2 linked regions of the Zea mays genome follow. The protein of the gene in region 1 interacts with the protein of each later gene in a pairwise test. Links are inferred from orthologs where the notes say so. Each region holds a gene or a part of one and is shown in the gene's direction. Other genes may lie near its edges.

Evidence for each region.
Region 2: the proteins of type 2 DNA topoisomerase 6 subunit B-like (region 1) and meiotic recombination protein SPO11 interact in binary tests that used the Arabidopsis thaliana proteins (3 or more experiments, as listed by UniProt). The link is inferred for Zea mays from reciprocal best matches to the Arabidopsis thaliana genes AT1G60460 and ATSPO11-1.

Annotation. Positions count from the first base shown.
Region 1 is NC_050100.1:60,880,825-60,891,540, forward strand, and holds type 2 DNA topoisomerase 6 subunit B-like, read left to right. Parts: upstream 1-3,479; 5' UTR 3,480-3,662; coding exon 3,663-3,704; intron 3,705-3,803; coding exon 3,804-3,915; intron 3,916-4,010; coding exon 4,011-4,094; intron 4,095-4,388; coding exon 4,389-4,415; intron 4,416-5,020; coding exon 5,021-5,129; intron 5,130-5,207; coding exon 5,208-5,289; intron 5,290-5,466; coding exon 5,467-5,487; intron 5,488-6,734; coding exon 6,735-6,928; intron 6,929-7,940; coding exon 7,941-8,082; intron 8,083-8,326; coding exon 8,327-8,520; intron 8,521-8,641; coding exon 8,642-8,765; intron 8,766-9,105; coding exon 9,106-9,402; 3' UTR 9,403-9,654; downstream 9,655-10,716. Other genes in the region: probable isoprenylcysteine alpha-carbonyl methylesterase ICMEL1, read right to left, coding at 80-223, 311-376, 1,195-1,335, 1,520-1,621, 1,706-1,780, 1,898-1,978, 2,052-2,121, 2,228-2,304 and 1 more; RER1A protein, read left to right, coding at 10,681-10,716.
Region 2 is NC_050100.1:7,551,977-7,562,747, reverse strand, and holds meiotic recombination protein SPO11, read left to right. Parts: upstream 1-4,496; 5' UTR 4,497-4,509; coding exon 4,510-4,615; intron 4,616-4,706; coding exon 4,707-4,818; coding exon of another isoform or gene 4,819-4,947; coding exon 4,948-5,024; intron 5,025-5,096; coding exon 5,097-5,198; intron 5,199-5,282; coding exon 5,283-5,356; intron 5,357-5,541; coding exon 5,542-5,558; intron 5,559-6,125; coding exon 6,126-6,195; intron 6,196-6,288; coding exon 6,289-6,325; intron 6,326-7,178; coding exon 7,179-7,226; intron 7,227-7,293; coding exon 7,294-7,352; intron 7,353-7,431; coding exon 7,432-7,463; intron 7,464-7,543; coding exon 7,544-7,649; intron 7,650-8,035; coding exon 8,036-8,156; intron 8,157-8,270; coding exon 8,271-8,334; intron 8,335-8,698; coding exon 8,699-8,825; coding exon of another isoform or gene 8,826-8,925; 3' UTR 8,926-8,966; downstream 8,967-10,771. Other genes in the region: phytochromeC2, read left to right, coding at 1-1,733, 1,834-2,650, 2,937-3,230, 3,837-4,074. UniProt on the Arabidopsis thaliana protein: Component of a topoisomerase 6 complex specifically required for meiotic recombination. Together with MTOPVIB, mediates DNA cleavage that forms the double-strand breaks (DSB) that initiate meiotic recombination.

The DNA of each region.
Region 1 (10,716 bases):
AGTACCTTAACCGTGTAAAACAGAAACAAAATGGATCTACAATACACAATGTTAAATAAATGTAAACTTTGTGACACACCTTTCAGCTGGAGGTATTGAATAATCACTTGTTCCGTGGAAAAGGATGATGCGAGGCAATAAAGAAACTGCAGACCTAGCAGATGACTCCATAATCATCATTTGTGGAGAGAATTTCTGGAGTGATACTTCACCTTCCATGATACTGCAAGGATATGATCAAAATGAAGTCATAATACACTCACAGGATCACGATTTTATTACAAGACATGAACAAATACTAACAGTGAACCTGAGAAAGATAGACCGGTAAAGGCCACGTCTATGAAAATGATCAACCAAGTTAAGGAGGTTGTACCTGTAAAGATCATACACAAAAAGTTGAAGCCCGTTTCACCAACTGATTCATTTTTTGTCTGTACAGAACACTGTCTTCTATTCAATCTAATGAGCGGCACATGAATAAATGCTAAAGTACAGTGCTTAAAGGTCCATAATTTATAGCATTGTATAAAAGGATCTTATAAGTTGTCATCCCACTCACTACTGAAAAGGCTAAATTCATCAACTGAATGTAGAGTAGTCATATAGTCTCTCCACTTCACAATGACATATAGATTACAGCTAGAAACCTACTCTAATTGGCAGGGCTGCAAATATTAGAAAAATCTACTGATGTAACAGATCTACTATTGAGGCACTTGGGAGAAGGATTGGAGGTACAATTAGGGGAATTAGGGAGATTAAAGGGAGGGGGCAGCAGCAGGGGGAGGCTGTCATGGTGGGTGGTGTGGCCGTCGGGGCTTGAGAGAGAAGAGGGGAGAGAGGTTGAAGGTTTCCTCTAGATTATTCTTGCTTAATCTCAACACACATACATCTTCCGTTATACTTATAGGGAGGATCCAACCTGACTCGACTTGACTTACAAGCAATCCTATCTCCTGGACTTTCCCTAATCCTAGACCTAGATGGGTTTTATGCTGATCTATTGTACCCATGAGCCATGGGTATGGTTCAGGGTTCACATTAGGCCTGGTCCGTTTTGGGCCCAACACCTCAGTGACCCACCAATGCTATTTAGACCCGTGACAACTGACACTATGCACAAATTCAAATAGAAATAGCATTTTTTTTGTTCTGTAAGCTATATAATATTAAGAGACATGAATGTTTTACCCGCCAGAAATACCAAAGTAAGCTTTTAGCTGTGATACACTCCAAGAGGAAGTATCTCCTTCACCGGATTCTCTAATGGCCTGATTTAAGAGAGCACAAGCAGCAATATGTGCACCAGCTGATTGTCCAACAAGATATATCCTGCATATGTAAGAACAAGTACTTTAAATATATCATCTCAGAACAGAGGTATTTTGCATTCAGTTTTTTTTATACACTGCATGTTTCTTTTAGGAACATAAATATTTTGGAAAAAAAGCAAGAGCCAAGAACTATTTCAGTTTTTTATTGTAAGCAAATATGCACACAAGGATAGGCTATAAACCTGCTAGGATCACCTCCATAACTTGTTATATTCTTGCAGACAAAAGCTATTCCTTGAGAAGCATCTTCTACCATGTCACCAATAGTCCCTTGAGGAAAGTTTCTGAAAACAAAGCATTTACATCCTCAGTGACAATGGCCTGAATGATTATGCTGCTTTGCATAATTGGAAATACATTCAGAGTACCTGTAATCAATGCATGCAACTATGATGCCCCTTTCTGCTAAGCGTCTGCCTAAAAGGGCTCCCCACCCTTTGTAACTGAGAAATATACAATTTGATATGCAGAGTCATTGAGTCAAGGCAGAATCAGACTTTGCAATAGCAAGAATATCAAAAAATGGTTAGGGGTTCAAGATAGTACATACTTCCACTCACCCTATGATCCACGCTCCACCAGTCACAAACGCAACGACCGGCTTTAACCCTGTTGTACTAGTGGGCATATACAGGTCCAATCTGCAATAAAACTTAATTGCATGGTTTATCAAGCAGAAATATTAGTTAATGGTAGTAGAATCAAATAAAGTACCTGTTTCTTGGCTGATCTCCATATACAACACTTCTATGAACTTGGCTAGAGAAGAAATAATAATATACAACTGGAGTAGAGCAAAATCCATTAAGGTAGTAGCACAGTCAGGTGCAGTGTATGAGTACAATTCTAAGCAGATAAGAAAACAATGGCAAATCTGGAGCAACGCCAACCTTGAATAAAACCTGGCATCAGCAAGAGGGTATAACAGCAGAGGGCTAGGAACTGCCGAATCCATCTGTAGCCTATCCTGCATAAATTTAACAAGTTATTACAATAAACTGACCAAAAGCATGTAGTCTCGTACAAGGCCGTCTGAACACGCTTCCAATCAACTTATATCTAGAATATATCACTTAGATTGATGATAAATATGGAAGGTCACACAAATTGTCCCGTTTTTTTTTCAACACATACATTCTTTCTGCGCATACAAATTTGCAAATGACATTGAGCACGTAGGTGTACCAGGAGAGCAAGCAATGCACAGGCGAAACTGTCCAAGTCCAAGTAGAGGTTGCAGTACACTAGTTTCAGAGCAGCGGAGTTGATGCGTACCCGAGGTAGCGGAGGAGGATCAGGGTGAGCCTCGTGAGGAGGAAGGTCTCGGCGGCGGCCCGGCCGACTTCGCGGCGGAAGGAGCCGCTGCGCTGCGCGAACCGCCCGCACGCCGCCCGGCGCCGCACGCCCGCGTCGGGGAGGAGCGGCGCATCCTCCGCCGGGGGCGACGCAGAAGCGGCTTCAGGGGACGGCGGCAGGGGCGTGCTCGTCTGGGAGGTCTGCGCGGCGAGCTCCACCTTCATCGGGGCGACGCGAGACTCCCGAGGCGGGGGCTTCTCCGTGGTGCGGATCGGAACCGGTTCAAAGCTGGGAGAGCGACGGCTTCTTGTGGCCAGGCAGCAGCTCCGGCGGCCACCGAGGCGGAACCGCGCTGCGGCCCGCGGAGAGGCCTCGGCGAGCGAGAGCACGGAGGCGTACGGCGGGTCCGGTGCTCCGTCCGGCGGATGGCGGCCAGGAAGATGTGATTCTGTGACCGGGACGCTGACACGTAGACCCCGCATGTCCCGAGCCCACATGTCAACCTCTTATTAGTATTTTTTTTATTATAACGTCGACTTGTCCCGTTCTTTTTTTTATTCGCGGCCGGCCCATGTGACGTCCGATCACGTCTATCCGGCCCATATCCGGTTTGAAACGCGAGAATTTTTTTACCTTATGTTTTTGTGAAATTCCAGAAATTCTGATATCCATACAAAATTACTGTGTTCTCTAGCGGTCCTAAACGACTCTTGGGCTACACATACCTCTCAGTTGGATTGGAGCACAAGATCCACGGTCCACCTGCCGAGCTCGCCAATTATACTGGGCCGACCTTCCATGCATTGGGCTTTTCTGTCAGCCCATCTACCGCAATTCGTTCAGACGTTCACGGCCCATCCTGGTGTCCGTCCTCTTCCAGGGGGAGAAATTCCGGGGAGACGGGAGCGGCGAGGTTGGCGCGCGCCGATACGGCGGCGGAATTCCGGCGACCGGCTCAACGATCCATAGCTTTCTTTTTGTAATCTGCTCCGCCAGCCGAAGCACCGGGCGTTGTCGCTCAACCTAACCATGGCGTCAACCTCCTCTCCCCACCGGAAGTTGCTCCACTCCGTAAACCTCTCTCTGCCCCGCACCCGATAAACCCCTCCCATTTCCGATCTCAATTCCAAACTACACCTCCTAACAGAATTTTCCGCGCCTCTGTTTCAGCTGGTGTACTGGGCGGTGCAGCGCTGCCGGATGTCGGAGTTGCCGTGCCGGCTCACGGTCTCCCTCAAGCGCCCCGCCGAACCCGCCAGCTCCCCGCCGCTGCGCGTCTCCGGTAACAAAGTCTGCGGCGGCGTTCCATCCTTAATTCCGATTATTACGTTGCCGTGTAACATTAGTTTAACGCAAACATTTGGTGGACTATCGCAGTTTCGGACACGGGGGTGGGGAGCAAACTGGAGGAGTTCCTGGAGCTCGACGCCCTGGCGCGTGAGATTCCCGTAGAGAGATGGGGTATGTGATCACTGTGATGCTCACCTGCTCGTCCAGATCAATGCGATTAGTGATTACGACTTGACATTCGTTTATAATAATGTTAATACATCCAGAATTAAAGATTGTTCGATGGTAAGGTGGTCAAATGTTCTTTACTTACACTGTCCTTAACGGCCATAGTTTTAAATGAATCTTCAGATGGAGTACCAACTTTTGAGTGACAACTGACAATGACTTGGACAACAGAAATGGAGTAATTCTTGTTTTTCGTTCATCTTCCTTTGTCTTATGTGGTTTCTATCTGCTTTGCAGATGGCACACTCTTAGTCACAACTACTGGTATGTTTTCTGTTTCACTGCACGATGTAGTTCAGTGTTCTGTTTGTGTTATGAATATCGGTTGATGCGAAGTACTGTACTAGGAGTTCATTAATTCTACATATTCTAAATTGGTTGGTTGGTTGTGCTGGTCCAACAGAGCAGGTTGGTATCTTGAGAATTCACCTGACAAAAAAAATGATAAACTTGGTAGCAATGGTAAGAAACAGATAAATGGAATCCTAATAAAGATGGGAGCATTCGGTGGTCAGACTCTCACCGCGATTCACTGAAATTTTCTCATATCTTGATTTCCTCACTACTTTCATTTGTTATTCATGCTTTTTTCTTCTCCTTATATGTTTTCTTCTTTTGTGATGTAGTTTTCGTTACAGTTTGTCATAATATGCAAGTTCTAAACCTAAAAACACACATGATTATATAGTAGAAGAGTACATCAAAGTTTTCTTCTACCTACGTATATCTATTTAGATGACGGAATTATTAGCACACTTCTTGGGTGTACAAATCAGTACCAAAAGGCAAAAAATATCTGAGAAGGCTGTTTTTGTTTCATTTGTGATATTGTGAGTGCAGTCATTGATGATTTCTTGCCCATTATTCAGGAATCAATGATGAAGCCATTTATCGTTATCAAATTAATCTTCAAGAAGAGACATCAAGTGCAAGATTTAGCAAGTTGGCTACCGCATACAAAAATCATGCACGATTCAGGTACGCTGTCTGTTTTTAGTTTGATGTGACTAATGAATACCTTGATTGATTAAATTGTGGATATGTTTCTCAACACAGTGGAACTGAAGTCTGCCTTTGTCTCTCAAATGATGCTGATGTTGATGATTTTGTATTATGGTTGGTTTGTTTCTTCAAAAAGGTGATTTCTCAACATATAATTATTAGAATCCTAATAATGATCTTATGGTAGGGTATTTGTAGAATATATTGGCAAAGACGGTAGAATTAAGTGTCAATTTTGCGCAGCTAAGTATGTCACTTTTGTGTTGTTGGCTCCATTATGTCTGAGCTGATATTTTTTTCTTAACCTGTGCAGATACAAGTGCTAAGAGCAGCAGTAAGTATATCTGAACTGTTATCTTTCCTCAAGTTGGAAGTGTAGTATTTCACACTTTCATTTTCAATGCTCCTTTGCAGCTTAAATGGCTTATTTCTACTCTTATGCAATCTCAGATTTACTTATCCTTAATTTCTTCAGTTTGATTAACAAAGCTGTTTGATGTGTATTATCTTATGTTTTTCTTTCTAATTCAAAGGGTTAAGTTAGTTTAGTTGCCTTTTAGCATATTCATCTTAATTTGCCTTTGTATTGTTTAATCAAACAATAGTAAATTTAATGCCATCCAGATCTTAAAAATTTCAAACACACCGGTTGCATTATACCTATTCACTTCATGAGGCTTAGTTTTATTGTAGTTCTTTACATGTTTGTACTTTTAGGTATGATTCATTCTTTTTTGGTAATAAGTAGGATATGAAGCATACGTTTTAATATATTTGTGTGGGTATGGCTTTGTTTGACTGAAACAAACTGATGTCCAAATTTGCTTATGTCAATGTTTATTATAAAAACTCGACCTGCGGAGGGTAAGACTGCCCCACGGCATTACAATTAAGAAGACTTCATGCAGATCGAGAAAACCCCAAACCTCCGTCCCACCATATACAACGGTACCGTAGCCCATGTGAGAACGGTCGCGGCCAGGGCTAGACCTTAGACTTGTGCGTTGGCGTGGGACAGACGAGAGGATTTTTTAATCCTAGCTTGAAATTCGCTTAGTCGAACTCATGACCTGAAGAGTGCTACTCATACCACCTAACCAATTCAGCTAGAGGCCCTTTCGCGTCAATGTTTATTATGATGGATTGGAAAAAAACAACAACATGATTCTAGAAGTTGAAACCTCCTAGATAAGAACATGAATACATTTAGAATGCAACATATATTTGATATTGTCAATGGCTGGAGATAGTTGATTAGAAGTGCATTGGCTACGGATATATTGGTAACAAGTATCTTGGAAAAAAGGTTATCAATAAACTAAATAGGTGTATATATGTCCTTGAGCTGATTAACTGAAACAAAAAAACATAACAGGTCTAAAAGTGATTACCATTTTTCAGCTGTCGGTCACTTGTGGTGTGACCGTCCGAGTGTGACATTTAACTTGAATTGGTTGTGGAATATTTTCAGTTTCGATTGTTGAGTATCAAGGACGCATGTACCTTGAGAATCTCTGTTTTGCCTCTTTTTCCTTAAGCTGACAACTTAAGTTCCTGTTTGGCTGTTTATTTTGTACTTAGAATTTAGCATGTGAGCTCTTTGTTGAGCAAACAGGCAACACTGGTTCCAGAAATGTCTGTCTACCACAAGATTCTGATGATGTGCATCATTCTGTTACGGCATCAAGTATTGACCAGCTAGTTTCTGGTCTTAAAGACTACTCACTCTCCCATGTAAATTCTTGCGACAAGTGTGGCATGTGCTTATTTGATAGGTAAAAAAACCTTTCCATCATGACTGTCTTACATATTTTTCTCATACTACTATGCTGCTAAGATAATTTTACTGAATTTGCTAATATATGCTCCAAAATTTTCATGCTGAAGTCACCCTTATTCTTACCTGGGGGCATCTAGGTAGGGGTTGTGCTTTTTGATTTGCTTGTGTCCCTTTTCTGAGCTTACCAATATTCTGTTTATAATTACTTCTAGTCTTTACTCAAAATGAGATGTTTTAAAAACCAAATCATATTTTTCTGCTATCTGTCTTTATTTGAATCTTTCATCAGTAGTTTATCATCTGTATTCATTTCTAGCTTTTTTCCTGAACTCACAATTTAGAAAGCTAAATGATATTTCTGGAATCTCTTTTCCGTGTTCTTTGGAGTTTGCTGTTGATAAATCTTGTTAAGCAGATCGCTTTTTCCATTATTCTTTGAATTCAATTGTATATTTTTTTCCTTTTTTCAGGTCCATTGACATCATGTTTTTTGTTTTAGGTATAGCCCTATGTGAGAAAGCTAACCAAGAATCACTGCTATGTGCTATGTTTGCATTCGTTGATTTTTTTAAGAAATTTGCATTCATTTGTGTTTAAGACATATTTTCACACTTGTTAGCATGATTTGTGTTTAAGATATATTTTCACACTTGTTAGCATTAGATCTTTTGTATCTTCTTTCCTATATTTAACCATGAGAAAATTGTTGATGGCAGCCCACATGCAACAGCATCCCATGCTTCACTGTGTATTTGCCCATTTCTTAATCGCCCAAGCCCAAGCCCAAGCCCAAGCCCATTCTCTCGGCCTTTCTGGCATGCATGTGCTAAGCTCCTATGTCCAAACCTTTATGTAGTCTGGTCTGTTGTCTATTCACTCATTGGCATGCTAATGAACACTTGCATATCATCTGAGTGTGGTGTTATGCATCCTCACGGGTCAGGACAGATTGGTGTGCTTCCATAACATGATTAGTAAGTTTTAGTTTTTCTTCCTTCTTACTTCAGAGATCTTCTAAAGATTGGAACTGGAGCAGCAAACCATGTAGAAAGAAGAAAAGCTAACCGACTACATGTTGAAGTAGTCATAGTGATTGCACATATTGCATCTGATTCAGATTGTTGTATGGCAAATTGCTCGTCCACGCAGGTTTGAACCACGAAGGTTTTAGTTATACATTTTCATTTCCTAAATAGTTTTTTCTCCTAGGCCCTAGTGCGGTACATTCCCCATGCCAAGACAATCTTATTTTAATTTGACAATGGAAATGACTTGTTCGTTTGACTTATAACTTACTTACTAACAGTACAATAACTCTCGTAAAGTATATTAGAGTTAAGCATGATTCAACTGAGCTTATAGTTTATGCCATTGTTGGCTGCAACAATTGCAGGTTTTGTACTTTGAAGATTTTGTACCTTGTCAGATATTGCAGTCCTCTTTTGATGTGTTGATGAGCACAGACTGGCAAAGCTATGGTTTCAAGTTAAAAGGAGGTTTGATGGGTGATGACGGAAACGCTGTTCTCGAGTGGGATAACATGGCATTTGCTCGTATTGATATTTCCATTCATACTTACCACGAATGATATCCAGTTTGCACACTTCATCCTCTTTTTGTTTTCATCCACAAGTTATTTTTTTCAGTGAAAGCTCAATCTATATGTAGAGGGTGGATTTTCTGTCTATCCTTGACTTTCTCCAGCCACTGCTATGCAAGAACGGCAGGGATCTCCACAGGATAGATACCTTTTGAGGAAGGCACTCAAATCTGCTCTAACTCACTTGAAAGCAGATCATGCAGGAGATTTTCTTAGTTGCCATGGCCAGAGGGTATGCACTTTGTACATATTTCTTAGTTTTTTACTACTATTGATTAACTTATTCAGTATGTTTTTTGGACTGAAGAAATTATGTTGCTATTTGGGTAGAAGCTAAGGCTAAAGTGCCATCATACACTTAGGACAATTTGTCTTATTCTATCAACTACGCAACTACGCTGCAAATGGTCACCTATTTATTAGAGTTAGTATAGAGAAAGATAAGCTAAGCGTGACATCATAATAAGCACCATAAAATTCTATCATGAAAAGAATACCATATGTTAGTTATATCATTTCAGGTTGTATCATAATAAGCACTCTAAATCATTCGGTTCATTATGTCATTTCAGGTTCGTGAATACGTTCCTGACCTTGCGGAATCAATCGCTGGGCTGATCTTGTCATCCACCGATGAAGAGTTCCAAGGCGAATGCTTTGCGCTTCTTGGGCTAGGCTCCGAACAAGACGTCTCTGGAGGAGCTGTTCAGTCGTCGATCTGCGAGAAGATGATCCGCATCATAGAGATAAATGACACCAAGGATAATTCAGAGGACAACGTGCCTTATCTGTTCGAATGCGAGAAGCTGGATGAAGATAGCGAGCTGGACGAAGGAGGTGGAGATGAAGACATGGCTTCCGATTTCTAGCGTTGTTTTCACCCGTCTACCGTCTCGTAGAGTTGTAGTGTAGTTAGAGATGGCAATGGGTGTCGAAAACCCGAATACTTATGTAGGTGGATATGAGATGATTTTTATATTGGTGGATATGTTAATGAACAACAATCCCTGCCCGTTGGATAAACGGTACGATACACGCACCGTATATCCGTGAGTAAAATATATCTGTACCATACAACTATTATTATCTAATAAAATTAAAATAAAACCCTTTTTCGACTATCGTTTATTTAACTTTCAAGTTATGTAATCATTTGGTTTGTTATATTTCAGGTTAAACTTATTTTTATGTATTTATTTGACATTTGAGTGTTCGGAATATTATAATTTAAGATCTTCTTAGCGAGTATGGGTTACCCATGGAGCATGGGGTATAAGTATGAGTAGATTTAGTACTAAGAGCGTATATAGATAATCCGATAATAAATATATACCTGTTGCCATCTCTAATCTCTAATTGTTGTAGCCCAGACTCCACTAAACCCGCTCGCTGAACTCGAGGCGGTTTAAGTAGCAGTTGCTACGTCAATGTTTAGAAAACGTAATTGCAGAAATTAAATAATTAAACGGAATATAGCTGCAGCCTGCAGCCTTTCCAAAACTTCTACAGTTTAATCAAAACTAGTCTTGGGGCAACTTTTTAGGCAAAGTGGAGACCACGGCCTAGTAAAATTGCAGTAAGCTGCTCCGTAGTTTCCCTGTCATTTAGAGATCACGCTTCGCTGTTTAGAGTAAGCTTCTTCTTTGTGTTTTGAAGAACCATATTATCTGTTTATCTTGTAGTAATAACATTTCACAAATCCATTTCCCACCCACCAGACTGGTGCTCTTTTCGTTCTTTTGTATTTGTTTGTGAAAAGCAAAAGTGTGGTTTTCGTGAAATAGGGTGAAATATAAATCTGTAACACTTTATACATACTCCTAAAAAAATGTTTGCTGTTGAGAAATAGGCAACAAAAATGTTGTAGACTGCAGTATTTGACATTTTTCTTTTAAAAAAACTTTAGGATTAGTTTGGAAGCTTAAACCGGATTCATGAAGATTGAGATGAAATCAATGCTCAAGAATCTCGGATGGGATTTAAGTTTCGGTATATTTATTTATAGCACGTGAAGTCCGGAACAGTCGGCATGTGAAAATCCTCTTCGTCTGCAGTCTGCTCGCTCGCGATTGCGATTCCCACTCAGCCCTCCAGGCTCGAAACCTAACCCACCCGCCCGGGGATCCCAAGCGGCGGCGGCGGCGGCCATGGAGCCCTCCCCCGTCGGCGACGGTGGCTCGGCG
Region 2 (10,771 bases), about 53 Mb from region 1:
ACACGCGGTCCCAACCATCGACCAGCGGGACGCGCTCACCATCGGCGCCGACGTGCGCACGCTCTTCCGCTCGCAGAGCTCCGTCGCGCTTCACAAGGCCGCCACCTTCGGGGAGGTCAACCTGCTCAACCCCATCCTCGTGCACGCCAGGACGTCGGGGAAGCCCTTCTACGCCATATTGCACCGGATCGACGTCGGCCTTGTCATCGACCTTGAGCCGTTCAACCCAGCAGACGTGCCAGTCACGGCCGCGGGCGCGCTTAAGTCGTACAAGCTCGCCGCCAAGGCCATCTCCAGGCTGCAGTCGCTGCCCAGCGGGAACCTGTCGTTGCTGTGCGATGTGCTTGTCCGTGAGGTGAGCGAGCTCACGGGCTATGACCGGGTCATGGCGTACAAGTTCCATGAGGATGAGCACGGTGAGGTCATTTCTGAGTGCAGGAGGTCCGATCTGGAGCCGTATCTTGGCCTGCACTACCCAGCCACCGACATCCCGCAGGCGTCCAGGTTTCTGTTTATGAAGAACAAAATGCGGATGATATGTGATTTCTCTGCCACTCCAGTGCTGATCATTCAGGATGGCAGCCTTGCACAGCCCGTCAGCCTCTGTGGTTCTACCCTCAGGGCTTCCCATGGTTGCCATGCACAGTACATGGCAAACATGGGTTCTGTTGCATCGCTTGTGATGTCAGTCACTATAAACGACGATGAGGAGGAAGATGGGGATACCGACAGTGACCAACAACCGAAAGGCAGGAAGCTGTGGGGGCTGGTCGTCTGCCATCATACAAGCCCGAGGTTTGTCCCTTTCCCGCTAAGGTACGCTTGCGAGTTTCTCTTGCAAGTATTTGGCATACAGCTCAGCAAGGAGGTGGAACTGGCTGCTCAGGCAAAGGAGAGGCACATCCTCAGAACGCAAACCCTTCTTTGTGATATGCTCCTGCGGGATGCTCTTGTTGGGATATTTACCCAGTCACCTAATGTGATGGATCTAGTAAAGTGCGATGGAGCTGCATTGTATTATCAGAACCAGGTTTTGGTGCTCGGATCAACACCGTCCGAGTCAGAGATTAAGAGCATTGCCACATGGCTGCAGGAGAACCATGATGGTTCAACTGGGCTGAGTACTGACAGCTTAGTGGAAGCGGGTTATCCTGGTGCTGCTGCACTCCGTGAAGTCGTGTGTGGCATGGTGGCCATTAAGATCTCTTCCAAAAATTTTATCTTCTGGTTCCGATCACACACAACAAAGGAGATCAAGTGGAGTGGGGCTAAGCATGAACCGTTTGACGCAGATGACAATGGCAGGAAGATGCATCCACGATCTTCATTCAAGGCCTTCTTGGAGGTGGTTAAATGGAGAAGTGTTCCCTGGGAGGATGTTGAAATGGATGCTATCCATTCTTTGCAGTTAATATTACGTGACTCCCTGCAAGGTGAAGATGCCAACAGAAACAACATCAGGTCCATTGTAAAAGCTCCATCTGATGATATGAAGAAGTTACAGGGGCTACTTGAACTAAGAACAGTTACAAACGAGATGGTCCGCTTAATTGAGACAGCAACTGCCCCTGTCTTGGCTGTTGACATTGCCGGTAACATAAATGGATGGAACAAAAAAGCTGCAGAACTAACAGGGTTACCTGTAATGGAAGCCATAGGGAGGCCTCTGATAGATCTTGTTGTTGCTGATTCTGTTGAAGTGGTTAAGCAGATTTTGGACTCAGCTTTACAAGGTTTGTCACTATGCTTTCAGTCGATCTTTTTGTGGTTCCCAGCTTAATCTGAACGTGTCCATTTTTTTCTATGACAGCTTAGTGTCTCCTTGTGTTTCAGGAATTGAAGAGCAAAATCTGGAAATCAAGCTTAAAACATTCCATGAACAGGAGTGTTGTGGTCCAGTTATCTTGATGATTAACTCCTGCTGTAGTCGGGATCTTTCAGAGAAAGTCATTGGAGTTTGCTTTGTAGCACAAGATTTGACCAGGCAGAAGATGATTATGGATAAGTATACTAGGATACAAGGAGACTATGTTGCCATAATAAAGAACCCCAGTGAGCTCATCCCTCCCATATTTATGATCAATGATCTTGGTTCCTGCTTAGAGTGGAATAAAGCTATGCAGAAGATTACTGGTATGAAGAGGGAAGACGCGATAAATAAGTTGTTAATTGGGGAGGTCTTCACGCTCCATGATTATGGCTGTAGGGTGAAAGATCATGCTACTCTAACGAAACTTAGCATACTGATGAATGCAGTGATTTCTGGTCAGGATCCAGAGAAGCTCCTGTTTGGTTTCTTCGGCACAGGTGGGAAGTATATTGAATCCTTGCTGACAGTGAACAAGAGAACAAATGCTGAGGGTAAAATCACTGGCGCTCTTTGCTTTCTGCATGTGGCTAGCCCAGAGCTTCAGCATGCTCTTGAGGTCCAGAAAATGTCTGAACAAGCTGCTACAAACAGCTTTAAAGAATTAACTTACATTCGTCAAGAATTAAGGAACCCACTCAATGGCATGCAATTTACTTATAACTTATTGAAGCCTTCCGAATTGACAGAGGATCAGCGGCAACTTGTTTCATCTAATGTTCTGTGTCAGGACCAGCTGAAAAAGATTTTACATGACACTGATCTTGAAAGCATTGAACAGTGGTAAGTTCTGTATTGTCCGAATCATCTGTAGCAATGTTGATTTAATTATTTGTGTCGTTTTTGTGGCAGTTCTAGAAGGGATCTATAAACAGCATACACTATACATAAAGATATATACTTGCTTTCATATTCACATGATTAGAATTGCTCAGACATGAATTTTTTGTTCATTGTACTAATGCTTTGTAGTGCTAAAGATGTATACATATGAAAAGGCTGACCAGTTCAGTTATACATGCATGGCAATTTTTTTAAACTATTGGTAAACAAATTCTTGCTGTTACAGCTATATGGAGACGAACACAGTAGAGTTCAACCTTGAGGAAGCTCTGAATACGGTCCTGATGCAAGGCATTCCTTTGGGCAAGGAAAAACGTATTTCTATTGAACGTGATTGGCCTGTGGAAGTGTCACACATGTACATTTACGGGGACAATATAAGGCTTCAGCAGGTCCTAGCAGATTATCTGGCTTGCGCCCTTCAATTCACACAACCAGCTGAAGGACATATCGTGCTCCAGGTCATTCCCAAGAAGGAAAACATTGGGTCTGGCATGCAGATTGCTCATTTGGAATTCAGGTAATACGGCACTCTCATCTTGGTCTTTCGATAGCTGTTCTTGAACTGAAAGGATGATTTGACAAATAAGTGAACTACTAAATTGTACATCTAGTTTCTATTAACTCAGCACAACTCCAACATTTGTCTCTTGTAAATAACTTTCGCAGTGCTCCTAATTGTGTTAGTTATAATCCACGAAAAGGATTGTATGTTGACAAGGAACAGATAAGACCTAATGCTAGCAAATTCACTTCTGAACATCTTAACTCCTAAAAAAAATTCGACCTTCTCACGTAGGTCAAGAAAACCCTGAACCCCTGTCACATCCATACAAAGTGATATTATAGCCCATGTGAGAACGACCGGGACCGGTCCTTAGACCTCTGCTTACTCAGCTTAAAATTCGCTCCCACGAGGAGTCGAATCTATCCTGGTCACTGCACCAGCCAAGATGCAGTGATACATGTCACTTCAGGCATGTAGTTACACTTTGCAGTTTGAAACAATGGAAATGATCCCTGTGTAAAATTGGCGCTATCCCTGCCATTCTATATACACTGCAATGTGGCGAATGCGAGTATTGGTGGTGATGGGAGCTGTGTAACTGATTGACTCAATGTGCAGGATTGTCCATCCAGCTCCAGGCGTTCCAGAGGCCCTGATACAGGAGATGTTCCAGCACAACCCAGGGGTGTCCAGGGAGGGTCTCGGCCTGTACATAAGCCAGAAGCTGGTGAAAACGATGAGCGGCACGTTGCAGTACCTACGAGAAGCCGACACCTCTTCGTTCATCATCCTGATAGAGTTCCCGGTCGCCCAGCTCAGCAGCAAGCGGTCCAAGCCTTCGCCAAGTAAATTCTGACACTGATGCTCCTGGAACTGCAGTGACGGTTCGGCCGTGTCAAATTCTCGGGTGTAGGGTGTACCTCTGGCCAAGTGACTGATATTCTGAAAAACATACGGACTTCTAGTATAGGAGAAGAGGAATCCTAATCCTAGTAATTATATCTTAGTAGATATGTGCTTAGTCTCTTGTTAATTTTTTGTCTTGAGAGGACTATATATACTGATAAAGTGATAATTTATTCAGAGAATAAAGAATGGGCTCCATGCTTTGTCTATGTATTCTCTTCTTGAGGGCAATTTACGCCTCTTGAGAAGGGTGGCTTCGTTGTTGGGCTCTTGAAGGCCCACGCAGTCCAACGGAGCCCACTAAGCCTAATTCTGTTTCTTCGCGATCGATTAGCTGATTAGCTCCATGGCGGCTTCGAAAAAATCAAAATAAAAAACTAGCGCCATGGCGGGGAGGGATAAGAGGCGACGAGCGGCGCCGCTCGAAGGCGACGAGCAGCAGTTGCGGCGGAGGCTGGAGGAAGCGGCGCTCCTCCTCCGCAGGATCAAAGGTTTTGTTACTCATCTCCTCGATCGCCTGCCCTTAAATCTTCCCTCTCTCCTGTAGCGTCTGGAGCTGACGCGCGGTTGGGGATGGTGCAGGGCTTGTGCGCTGGATCGTCGAAGAGGTTGCCGCCGGCCGCTCCCCGTCTATAGTGCTCCACCGGTACCGGAACTATTGCTCCTCCGCCGACTCTGCGTCCCCGTCCCCATGGTTTAGCTTCCGCGCCCGCTCCCGGGATCATCTCCTTCCCGACCAATTCACCGTCACATCCCTCGAACAATTTTCACCCAAATGTGTGACATCCGTAGACCCTGGGCGCGCGCTCGTGCGTGATTGCAGTGCCTGCAGCTACGACATCCCCGTCGGCACGGACGTCCTCTCTCTGCTCCACAAGGACTACCACACCTCCCGCCTCAGTACGAATACATCTAAATCTTTGCATTTATGTGATCACACTAATTACTTTCTGATGCGTTGTTCATGCGTAGATGTGCTCCTGAGGGTGCTGTTCGTGGTGCAGCAGCTCCTGCAGCAGAACAAGCACTGCTCCAAGAGGGACATCTACTACATGTACCCCTCCATCTTCGTAGGTCTGTGCTCAGTAGGTGCAATGTTTGCTCCTCATTCCATTATACGGGATTACTAGAATTTGCACATATCTTGGCTCCCTGCAGAAGTAGCAGTTGTTGACCGTGCCATCAACGATATCTGCATACTCTTCAAGTGCAGCCGGCACAATCTCAACGTGGTAGGTCCATAGGTGCCACTAGTCTGCTGTCTTCCCTGAAGCTTCCATTGTGTATTGTAGAAAGGACTTGTGCCATCAACGATATTTGCTCCTTCACTAATATGCAGCACCATGACTATTACATACTGTCTTAATTTCATAACCTTTTATCTGACTGAATACTGTGCTCCCTTGGCTCTCTGCAGGTTCCTGTAGTGAAAGGGTATGAACTGTCATAGAGTTGAAGCTCTGAAGATATGTCCGTTTGTTATTCTTCTATTATTTTACAACGCTTCATTTTTTTATAACTTAAATAAACCCGTTTTTTTTTGTTCCTTAATCATCCTGTGTGCTTCTCACCATTATATAAAGAAAGATGATTTGGATGTGTTTGATGAGCTAGTGGGGTTGGGAACCTGGGATACCGTTCTTTCAATGTAGTCTTAGCCGTATAGGTTTATGCATATGAAGAGGAGGAAGAAATGATGCCATGATGGATCTGTTGTTCTTCCCAGTGTCAGTTCACAACTTTGAGATATATTTTTTTTGATACAGAACATGTCTGAATTCATGAAGAGTTCTCTTTGGTTTATCTGAATAAAAAATCAATATAGCATAAGTGTTAACTAAATTCACTATAGGAATTTGGAAATTCTATATGATTTCCGTATTACACTTGCTGTTACTTGCATTGTTTTTGCTAGGTTTGCGATGTTATATTCATAGAACTATTTGTTATTTATTCAGTTGTTTAATTGTGTGCACATGTCTATTCCCTTCATTATCCTAGTTTGGTGATGGGCTGGATAAGATTTATGGAGGGCGAAAAGAAAGTGTATTGTATAACAAGCGTCAATGCTGTAAGCTTTTATGTTCTCTGCCCCCTAATTTTGCTAACTGGTCTATTGATAAGATTTCATTTAATTTGTTTGCTTTACCTTCTGTATATTCAGGCTTTCTCCATTCCTGTTGACATTGAGGCAATCAAAGGTTTTTCCATCAACTTTAGGAACACAACCCCTTTGTGCTTTTGTGAAATGTGTAGAAGGGAGGGGGTAGTGAAAAATCAACTCTTTCCTTGATGTTTTGAAGCACACTGGGCAAAAAGTCACTGATCATTTTTTGCTCTTAAATGGTACCATAGATCTTCAATTTTTTGTTTCTTTTTTTAAAAGAAATTCATAATCTTACATTCTGAATTAAATAACTACTCCCCCTCTTCCAAGTTATAGTTTACTACTTCACTCTAGCTTTGTCCCAAATCAAACCTCTCTAACTTCACTTTAGTTATATGTTTTGATAAGAGAAGATATCCGGTGCACATGAAAGATTGGTGCACATGGTGCACATATTAAATCATCACCACTCAATTTAGATCTAACGTCTCTAGTTGTTTGGTATATTTTGCTAAGGACACCCTCCAACGTGGTGGTGTGTAGTGATGGAAGGTATTATTTGTAAATTGAATGATCAACTAAAGACGTTAGATATAAAATAAGTGGTGGTGATTTAATATGTGCACCATATGCACCAGATATGTCCTCTTTTGATAATGCATTTATTGAACTTCTAGGTGATAATATATTGTTCTAAAACTTGATCAAAGTTAGAGAAGTTTGACTTAGGACAATGCTAAAGTGAAGAATTATTTGAAACATCGGGAGTACCTTTTATCTTTTCCAGTCAAATTTTGTAATTGAGATATTATATGGTTGTTTAACAACTCGGATTTAGACGTGCCTACACCAGTACACCTCTATAGCAAAGCTTTTGATTTCCTCCCTTGATACCCTGAATTGCATTATAGTGAGCTGAAGTTGTCTTATTCTTTCTTCTCTTGCAGATGTTGTTAGTGTTGCCCACTACATACTTGTGGTTGAGAAGGAGACAGGTCTTTTTTTTTTTGCATTTAATAATTTCCGCTCTTTGTACAATATGCTTCAGTAGTCCCTTTGCAGTGTTCCAGCGTTTGGCCAATGACAAGTTCTGTGAAAGAAATCGCTGCATTGTTATTACAGTAAGTAACAACTCTCACCCGATGTTATCAATTTTCATAATTTTTTCTCTAGTTTCATGATATTGCATTGTCAACCCAGGGAAGAGGCTATCCAGATATTCCAACAAGAAGGCATGTGCTCTTTATTCATTAAGTTCCTCTTGCATATTTCTCAACCGCTATCCCAATTTTACATTCTTTTTCCATCCTAGATTCCTGCGGTACCTTGTTGAACTGCTGCATCTGCCTGCTTATTGCTTAGTGGACTCAGATCCTTATGGTTTCGACATTCTGGCTACCTATAAATTTGGTTCCTTGGTAGGCATGATTTATCTGATGCTGCTATGCTCATCTATATCTATTGTCTATGAACTTAACTTCCTTAGCAGATTCACAGGTTAAAATTGCAGGTAACGAATCCATGGACATGATCATATACTGCACCTTTCGTCCTAAATCAACAGCTTGTCTGGCCTCTTTGCATTTGAAAGTTCTATTACTTTATGAAGTCCCGTTAGCAATAAGGCTGTGTATTAGAGCAGTTCATTTTTCCCCTCAAAATAAACATGATTATGCTCGTTTTGCTCATCTTATCACAAGCATGACCAAAATATTTCTTTTTGCTCTTTGAAACCCAAGATTATGACATATTTACTTGTGTTAACTTACCAACCTCTGCTACTTGCGTAATTTCATTCTTCAAGCAATTGGCACATGATGCAAACTTGTTGCGTGTCCCTGATATACGGTGGCTTGGAGTTTTCACATCTGATTTTGAAGAATATTGCCTTCCAGACTGCTGCCTACTTCGTTTGTCACCTGAAGGTGAATAAACTGTAGTGATTCAAGTGGCATACATACTTTTTTTTGGAAGATGTTCCTTAGTTTCTTGTTGTATGTCAAATGCCAACCTGTGAAATCATGTGTTCTGCTGCGCAGATAGGAGGAAAGCTGAAGGCATTCTTGCTAGGTGCTATTTACACAGGGAAGCCCCAGAATGGAGGTAATGAAGTAATGAACCAGCTTTGGAGTTTTACTAGGTGTATTACAATTATATCCTCCATGATATCATTGTGATCTCCAGGTCAAGATCGAGGTCTATTAGTGCATGGAGTTTTACTAGAGCTTTCGTGGAATCTGATTTGTACAGTCATCATTCTTATGATTTAGTTGCTGGAGTTTGAGTTTCTTCAGCACCAGATCTTTAGCTTCAATGACTGTATAGCTTCCTGTTTTTACCAGTAAAGGCACAATAGTTTGAAGCACTTTATATTTTAAGATATTAAACGCATCATTTCCTATCAAGAATTCTGAGTTATTTTTTACATTTTCTCCCTGAATTTCACATGTATTCTCTAATTTGACAGGTCAGAGTTGGAAGCAATGCTGCAAAAGGGTGTCAAGTTTGAGATTGAGGCACTATCCGCAAATTCCATTTCCTTTTTATCGCATGAGTACATTCCCCAGAAAATCAAACAAGGCATGCATTTATAAGATTGGACATTCTTGTATCCGTCCAGGATGTGTCATAGAGTACAATCTTTTTTTGTCTGATTATAGTTATATCCGGAGACATATCATGTGCAAACACTAAGGATCTGTTTCAGAACATAACATAATATTTCCTTAATCCTAAGATAATATCGTGGTATTTGAGCATAACATGTTATTTTAGACTAAAAGATATTTGGGAGCATATCTAAAAACTATGTATTTTAAACCATGGTTTTACTAATACTTTTTGTTTGTACATAACTACGTCTTCTCTTCTACACTATAACTGAAATACTGTGTTTCTAAACGAATGTTGGATTAGACTGATATAAAATATACCATATGTATGTCATGATATACAATAAACTGTAGTATTATAAACTGTGGTTTTAAGAAACAGAGTTTCCAAATAGGCCCCAAGGATGTGTTTGGTTTGATTATAGTTATATCTCGAGACATATCATGGATGTGTTTGGTTTGAGGACATTCCTCACTTTTTTTATTTGATTTGTGGATTAGAATGAGGGCATGTTTGGTTCTATGAGGCTAAACTTTAGTCTCTCTTTTTTAGTCCTTAAATTACAAAAAAAAAGGACCAAAGAAGAGAGGAAATCTGATGTATTACCTTTTAGTCCCCAATATTTAGTAATTTGAGGAGTAAAATGAACAACCATCAAGTTGATCTATCACCATCTCATCCTCACAAGCAACGTGCCACCGTGAAACTCATCTGATTATTATATATTTATATGTCACAGCTGCTTCCAACTACTGCTCTCGCCCATTCCTGGAGCAGGCGGCTTGAACGGATGTAAAGTTTTTGTTGGTACTTAATTGATAGTGCAGTACGATGGTTCAGGATGGCGTAAAACTAAAACAGGTAATGGTAGTAGTAAGTAGCGTTATGATCCCCTTAGTTATTTTGTTTCAGCCTGCAGTTATTTTATATATGACCTAGTTAGTTTAAAACTGAACTGATTAGGTGCATCATATATAAAAGAAAAGAGAAGCATATATATATATATATATGGCTCACTTTTGTGGTATCAGAAAGCAACACTGTTTGTCAGCATAAAAGATAACAAAAGTAGCGTTATTTTCCCGCCAGAGCACGCCAAGAGTCTTCCTATCAAGCCTAGGACACATCACTACCTAGAGGTGCTAGCATAGCAAACACTCTCCTCTATCTAATACATATATAATTCTAGCATAATAATATAGGTCGTTAAAGTATGTTAAGTTTAATTTGGTAGACGTGCTAGAAAAAAACTACTAAAAAAGTTCTCATAATAACCAGAAACTTTTAATTTGGTAGACTCTAATCATCGTCACCGATAATAGCAATTGGATCTATATAATAAATTAAATTACCCACCTCTACTGCTGTTATGAGTAATATTTGAGCTTTCACAAACCATCGCCATTGCCACTCTCAGTTTGCGGCCCCGGCTCGGCTCACTCACCATGGTGGTCTCGCCGGTCGAAGTGCTCTCGTCAGACTGTCCGCAGCGGTTTCCTCTAAATTTCTCCCTCTATATCACTTTTTTGCGTCACATCATCAACATTTCATCCCCTATTTTTTCATCTTCCGCAGCGGTTTCCTCTATATTCTCCCCCTATACCCCACTATAACTATAAAATATCATTATCCAATCTTATTCATCATTTATTACCATTTTTTCTTCACCTATTAAAAAAACAACCGTACAAATGCACAGTTGAAGGGGGACGGCGAACTCATGCTCACTGCAGCGTGTTGCTGTTTACATCTGCTGCGTGGGGAACCTTTTAGAGGATGTCGTTGCGGTCGTAGAGGACTTCTGCAGCCGCCAGATTGAGAGGAGGGAGCGGTCTGGCGGACGCCGCTGCACACAGCCTCAGTAATGGCGGCATGGCAACATTCCCAAGACCGGGGGTGGCCTCGTCCTCGTCCACTGCTTTTTCTA